2 linked regions of the Tribolium castaneum genome follow. The protein of the gene in region 1 interacts with the protein of each later gene in a biochemical or structural test. Links are inferred from orthologs where the notes say so. Each region holds a gene or a part of one and is shown in the gene's direction. Other genes may lie near its edges.

Evidence for each region. The genes of interacting proteins can lie anywhere in the genome.
Region 2: of the proteins of Rel (region 1) and Dredd, one has a biochemical effect on the other in vitro, tested with the Drosophila melanogaster proteins (2 studies listed by BioGRID). The link is inferred for Tribolium castaneum from reciprocal best matches to the Drosophila melanogaster genes Rel and Dredd.

The regions. Positions count from the first base shown.
Region 1 is NC_087400.1:6,389,447-6,392,868, reverse strand, and holds part of Rel (nuclear factor NF-kappa-B p110 subunit), read left to right. Parts: intron 1-1,885; coding exon 1,886-2,024; intron 2,025-2,070; coding exon 2,071-2,175; intron 2,176-2,222; coding exon 2,223-2,754; intron 2,755-3,422. UniProt on the Drosophila melanogaster protein: Transcription factor that plays a key role in the humoral immune response as part of the peptidoglycan recognition protein (IMD) signaling pathway.
Region 2 is NC_087398.1:10,957,895-10,962,004, reverse strand, and holds the start of Dredd (caspase-8), read left to right. Parts: upstream 1-1,294; 5' UTR 1,295-1,406; coding exon 1,407-1,506; intron 1,507-1,515; exon of another isoform or gene 1,516-1,568; intron 1,569-1,618; coding exon 1,619-1,743; intron 1,744-1,787; coding exon 1,788-2,579; intron 2,580-4,110. Other genes in the region: leucine-rich repeat-containing protein 15, read left to right, coding at 1-1,043. UniProt on the Drosophila melanogaster protein: Effector of the programmed cell death (PCD) activators rpr, grim and hid. May play an apoptotic role in the germline as well as soma. Fadd interacts with Dredd to promote cleavage of Dredd and is necessary and sufficient for enhancing Dredd-induced apoptosis.

The DNA.
Region 1 (3,422 bases):
AGATTTTACACCGACATAATGATGATAACAGAGTATACACGAGTTTCGCAATGGGACGTTCCAACGCTTTATTAGATATAGGATTATATTTTAATCTGATTTTTCTCTAACGTCACGGTCTCGTATTTCATTGTTTTAGGAATTAAGTTAAATTCCCAGCTTTGTTGAAAAGTAGGAATCTGTATTTGATTTCTTCATAATTTTTTTATTGTTCCTTAAAATGCAACAGACATCTACAGCAATCATGCTTCGTATGAAGTAATTACCGTGCCATTAAAACACGAACGAGAACGCGTCGCAAAAAGTGGCAAAGCGGCGTGAAATCTCGGAAAAAAAATTAGGTTTTCACTCGTGGTGTAATAATCCACTCGTGAAATAAAGCGTCCGATTTACACTCAAACTCGTTAAATAATAGTATTAGCTAATGGAATTTATACTTTCAATGAGATATCTAATCATTAATTTAAAAAAATAATTCGGTAAAATGCGTTGGCGTTTTTATAGTTTTGAAACAGCTGATATATTACAAAACAAGTTTCATAAGACCAGTTTTAAAGCACGAATTCAGTGTAAAAAACGAGTGGCGTCAGTTTTTTATACTGTTTTTTGTAATTTGCACCCTTTTTGTCGTTTTTGACCAAAAGTTGTTATTTTTGTCGATTTAGGGATTTTTGTGACGGTTGGTAATATCCCAATTTTGAAAGTGAAAAATTAAATTAAAATTTTTGTTTTATTTAAATTCTGTCAAAAAACACGAGCATCAAAGATTATAAAGGTAATATAGCATGAACGCTTCTTGAAATTTGTGAAATTAGAAAAAATACGGTCTCGAATTTGCTTCCTGCCAACCTAAAAATTTTCGTAAAATGTTCCGTCAAATAATGACTGTTATGACATCGCACTTAATGACATTTAATATGCCTATAGTCCATTTTTTATATAATAAACTGTCAATGTCAAAATTCTGATAAAGACCAGACTGTATCACCCTAAAAGTTCATGTCCAGCCACTTTTGAAACTGGCTGTATTCTGTATTTGACATTTTGGACATCAGATTTGACATTTTTGAAAATTGGACGTTAGAAAATAACTAAATGTGTTGTTGTACGTGTTTTAAATTGGAGACAACTTGTAAAATTTGGAAACTGAATTTGGCAGCTAAAAAATTACATCAACCTTATTTCAAAAAAATTACTATTCATGATAGTGCCAACCTGACGGCTTTAAGACAGTTGATTATAAAAAAATCGACTATATTAAAGCATCAAAATGGCGGCAAATTATACAAGTATTTCGTGTTTGCTTTGGCAAATCTTAAATAACGCGCCAAAAGTGTATTCGCCAATGAGAGCGTCGCTCGTTCAAATGGACCAATTACGGCGAACCACATTTGTGATAACAAAAATGGCAGTGTGACGCAATTTAAAAAAAATCATAGGATTGAGTTTCGGTTGCAAAGCCAAATTCTTTATGGTCTTAAGGTTTTGTGTGTAAGTTTGCATTATTTATAAATATTTTGTCTGTATTAAGTAACTCTGACTCATAATATTTGCTGATAAGTGATAAAAGAAATGTAACCACGATTCAGATAACCGGCTGAAATCGCATAAATGATAACACAGGTTTTGATTGCACTATAAAGAATAACCGACACTAACCCCAAATTTGCAAATGTAATACCTTACATTTATCAATTTTAAGGTTGAGCCATGTGTGTCTGGTGCGAGTTGAGACTCGCTCAAGTCAGCGAATGCGACCGTAAGTCTCTTTACCCAACCCTTCGTAATAAACATATGTGGATATCTTCACTTAAACGTTTCAAAACCCACAGTAGTCGAGCCCTCGAAGCTATCTGTCATGTGTTTATCCCACTTTTCCTTTCAGATTAAGGGATTGGCTGAGGCTGAAAGCAAATTCATTAATCTGAATGTTGTTGTCTTGCGATTTGACGCTTTTTATGAAAACAATGGGATACTACATCCTATTTGCCCGCCGGTTTATTCACACACGATCAATAACTTGAGTAAGTATTGACTCAAATTTTCGGGTTTTTGACTCATTTTCTCTAGAAAGCGCCCTCACGGGCGAATTAAAAATCGTGCGAATGGACCACTGCACCAGCCCTGCGAAAGGGGGCCGAGAGGTGTTTATTTTAGTCGAGAGAGTCACCAAAAGTGAGTCAATTAATTGTGAAAAATTGTCAATTCATTTATTGGTTTAGAGAACATTAAAATACGCTTGTATGAGTTGGACGACGATGACAACATCTTGTGGGAGGATTATGGCCGTTTCAGCGACTTGGACGTCCACCACCAGTACGCCATTGTCTTCAAAACGCCCCCATACAGAGACCCCAACATCAAATCCCCGGTTAAGGTTTATATTGAGCTCGAACGGCCGTCCGATCGCTCCCGAAGTGAGGCGAAAGAGTTCACTTACACCCCCAGTTCAAGTGTTTATAAGCCGGGTGCCAAAAGAGCAAGGACGAGTTATGACACTAGTTACGATTCGTCTTTACCTAGTGATGAATTACCGCTACCGATCAATAATTTATGTATCGATAACACGCCAGGTTTGCTTGATGATGTTCAGTTAGAAGTTACCAGTGATGACCTACAACAAGCGATGACTAACATTGATTCGGAGGAGTTTCGTCGATTGTTCAATGAGTTTGGACAAGACTATTCATTGGTGGTGGATGCACCCTCGCAGTATCCCAAAAAAAATGCCCCCAAGGGGGGTAACAAGAATAGGTCAGGATTGTATACTTTGTTTTTTTATGAGATTTTTGAGCTACTTTGCGCCCTCTGGTAACGATTTTTTGCGAAAATATTGCATCAAAACATTGGTAAGAGACTACAACATGACTATAATACTAGTCAGGATAGAAACTTGACCATATAATTTACCTGTCATTAAGTTTTTAATTTTGGTACCTTATCATGAATAAAAACAATTAGCGGTTATCATTTTATATATTTTTCATGATTTTAATTTCCTTACCACAATCTGAACACAACTGAAATGTCAGTGAAGTCGCTAAATTTTTTACATTCTAATGGCATACTAAGTTTTATCGCCCGCCAAAAACTAAGTACTTCTAGTTAGATAAGAACAAATATTTATTTTACATTTAATTTTCAAACGTTAATTTGTAGTTAATTTAAAAAAAAACGTATGTAGGACGGAAGTAACAATCGAACTAATTTTTGTTTCATTATTGGTATTTCACAAAAATTTAAATGTAAAATATTGAAACCAGCTCAGAAAACGAGCATTTATTTTTTTTTTCAAAAATCTAGGAAAGAGACTACCAAAATAATTTTAATGTTGAACTTATTTTAAATATAAATGAAAGTAATCATCTTGAAAGCCCTCTGGGTTTGCTTACTACATTTTCTCTAATGAAAAAATACATAAT
Region 2 (4,110 bases), on another chromosome or scaffold:
CGATTGAAAATTTACCACTTCTGGCCCATTTGATTTTAAATCGCAATGAGCTCAAAGTTATTGAACGAGGAACTTTCACAAACTTAAACCTGACAAGTGTGAATTTAGGTGACAATGAAATTTCCAAACTCGAACTTGGGGCTTTCAAAAACCTCAAAATTCACCATCTCACACTCAGTAACAACAAAATTTCTGAGATTCGAAACGGGACTTTTGAAAACGTCTCACTCCAAAGCTTGAATTTGTACGGAAATGGGCTCCGAAAAATCGACGGACCAATCACAAACTTAACAAATCTGGTCCTGAGCAACAACAATTTGACCGAAATCGATTTGCATTTCCCTGATTTAAAATATCTCGACTTGAGTTTCAATTCCATTCAAGTTCTAAAGCCCGGAGACTTGAAAAATCTTCCCGCACTGGACACGTTGGACCTCACCGCTAATACCCTTCACCACGTCCCTGAAGGTGTCTTCAGTCAGTCGAAACTGGTAACTTTGAAACTAAATTACAACCAAATCGCGAAAATCGAACCCAAGTCATTCGACGACATGTCTCAGCTCAGTGTTTTGCACATCGACCACAACAACTTAACCCAATGGGATGACAAATGGTTGAGTAATTCCCCCAAGTTGGCCTACATTTTCGCCGGTTTTAACCGAATTGGAGCTTTGCCGGGCCAAGCCTTCCGGAATTATCCCCAAATGTACAGCATTGATTTGCAAGGAAATTTGATTAAAGAAGTTTCACGGGAAAGTTTCGCGGGGTTGGAGAAAGTGGTGAATTTTAGTTTGAGGGATAATTTGATTGTGGATTTGGACCCAGAATGGCTGGCTAATGCGACGGTGGGAAGTGTGGATTTGAGTGGAAATAAGCTGGGGTGTGTGGAGGGAAATTTAGAGGAGGCTTTCAGAAGGGTGGACTTTGTGCATCTGGAGGGGAATCCCTGGCGGGAGGATTGTGTGGAAAAGATTAAAACATTTCTTTCCCAGTGGCCAAAAATAAAACGCATTGTTAGTTCTGTGTCACAACAACCAATTTGATCTAATATTGATTAAAAACTTTGTTTGTAGTTTTATTGTTGTCCCAGAGCGAAATTATTAAATTTACCGCCTGTTTGAATGGCGTTCTACACGATTGCGTCCTATGTTTAGTAGGATATTTTCTGTTTTGATTAAGAATTTAATTAAAGTATTAACGTAAAAAATTAAATTTTGTTGTTCCAAATCAATTCGCAGCCAATTTATCGATATCGCAGTCATCTTTTTATTGATTTACTGTTTGGCTCATGTCCTTTGATTAAAACCTAGGGATTTTTCGCATGGATGCCATCACGGGGAAGTCCCTTGTTGAGTTACGTGTTTTAATCAGTTTATCGAATTAATTGTTATTTAAAACCAACGACAATGGGTGGATTGTTTTCAAGCCAAGGAAATGATTATTCCGACGATTCGTGTTCCGAAGAGGAAAGCAACGAGGTGTCGTGCAAAAATCAACCTACCTTTGGTAAATTTGTTTATCAACTTTTGATCTCAAGTGTCATTTTTTGCAACATAACCCCACTTTTTGTTACGTATTTAATTCCAGTAATTTAGTATTAATTTGAGCGATGTTTTAGATGAGGACAATTGTTTGGACTCCACTGACACCATAGACGCCAGTTTATCGCAACCAGCGATGCCAATAACGCTAAATGTGGACCAAGTTATGTCCATTGAAAACGACTTGGATGACTACGAGAAGGTAGTTATTTCTGGGAGCTATCCTTTAATAAAGAATGGTTACAGGTGGCCCTTGTGTTTTTGATTTACGAAGACCCCAAATCTGCGTTTGTTCAACTAACGAAATTGCTCCAAGGGTCCCATGACAAACTCTTGTATAATTGGGCAATTCATGAGAACTTAGCCGGTCGGAAGTGGCAAGAAAAGCTGGTTGAGGCACTTTGCATCATCCAGAATTACCAAATCATATCAAGTTTGGGCTTCAAACGGGAGGATTTAACCGCTCGGTTTTTACCGCACCACATTTTCACGTACGCCTATGTGAACAAAGTCAGAAAGGCCCTCTATTTCGTCTGCGAGGCGTTGCAGCAGAAGGACGTTGAGAATTTGCTCAACTTGGCGTGTAAGGACTTCAGGGAGAAGGGGCTGGATTTTAAGTGCATTAATGCGCAATTTTTGGAGTTGTATTTGCTGCATTGGGAGACTGTGGGGTACGTAAAACTGGACGATTTGAGTAATTTGTGTAGAGTTCTCAAGCAAATTGACCAGTTGGATATTTGTGATAAACTGAGAGAAATTGTGCCAATTGTGCACAAATCTGCTGAGAGTAGAAGTGTAGATAAAAGAGTAGATTCTAGTGAGAGTGAAAAAAGACAGTCAGTGAGTGTGTTTGAGGGAATTTTAGATCCAAAGTCCAGTTTGCTTAGTCTGGCCTCGCTGGAGACGTCGCATATCAGTGCAGACAATGCAGCTTTTGTCAGCGATGAAAATAAATATTTTATTGATCCAGAAAGACCTGGCATTTGTTTGATCATCAATCAAGAGAATTTCTACAGAGAAGTGGACAGAAAATATCGAGTAAGTTGGGGGAGAGGTGTTTTGTACCATGCTCTCAAAATTTCTGATCAAAAATTGACAAAAGAAAAAAATATGTAAGGTTCTAAGGAGTAACTGTTGATTTGTCATTGTTTTTTATAGTTAAAAGACCTTTAATTAAGCTCTGTTTTCTGCAAAAATTACGAAAATCCTTGTAGGGATTGTCACTTGCATTTGTCTTGCCAAGGTATTTTGAGAAAACAAAAAAAAATTATTAATGCGTTAAGCAGTGATTGTAAGTTCATCATTTTTTTACAACCAAAGGGTGTTTTAAGAAAATATGCTTGGAAAAAATACTGTTTGCTTGTGAAAACTTAAGAAGAGTAGGTAATAAAAAAAATTACAATTGTATGTTCTTTCTAAATCCAATCTTAATTATTATCTCTCAGACTAGTTGATATCTCGTATTAAATATTTGTAACCAAGCATTAACGAGGTAAAAACTAAAAATAATTTTAGAGTTTTTATAAAAAATAAACGTTTAAATGAAAAAATGAAATGAAACTGTATGCTGTTTTCTAAATAAAATAATAAATGGGCGGTCTATTTCCAACAGGTAACATCTCTAGCTTTACTTAACTTTTCAGGAAACGAGTGAAACGTTTCCTGAAAATAAAATAAAATAATAAAAGTAAGGATAAGAATTTAAGTATAAGGTTTTCATAATTTTGATTAGCATAAGTTAATGCAAAAGAAATGCATATTTCTGTATTAATAAAGACAAGGACAAGCTTACAAAATTAAGCGAATGCTTCTGCTAATTGTTTGACTTATCAAATTATAGACAACTGGAGGCAAAAATAAAAGCTGCAGCCATATACAGAGCTTAATATGTATTTTTTATACAATTTGCAATAATTTAATAACTTATTTTTTAAAGTAAACAAGTGTAAAGTAAACAAAATCATAATATAATAGTCCTCAAAAGTACTCACATTCACATTATTTTCAATTATTATTTTTTGCAGGCTAAGAACTTTTAAATTCATAAATATAAAAGATTTTTTGTTTCATCTGTTTTTGAAGTAAAGGCGTTAATAGATGAAGATCTAACATGTCGCGGTGGAAATTTTTTAAGAGTATTCCATATTGAGGGAAACTCTTCTTGTATTCTTCTGCTGAATTAGCTCCATTCTATTCCATTAGGAATTTTTGTTAATGTAGGATTAGGTATTCCCCTATAAAAGTTTCATAGCTTTATTTTTTTATTGCCAGTTACATTTTTATCTGTTTTTTTTTTATATATAGCAGTATGTATGTTTATCAATTATTTTGTAATAATTTTACTATAACTAAAAATTCGGATTCTTTTTTCTCACGCAAAGATTCATGATAAGATGAGAAATCCCGAGGCATTCTACAATGGTATAATTAATAATTATTCTAACTGTAGAGTATTTTATTTTGCATCTTTTACGTGTCTTCCTTCTCTTATGAAATCCTTAAACCAGAAATTAAATTCAATTTACTTGAAGGAAGTGATACTTCAAGTTTTTTAAGTGACACACAAGAG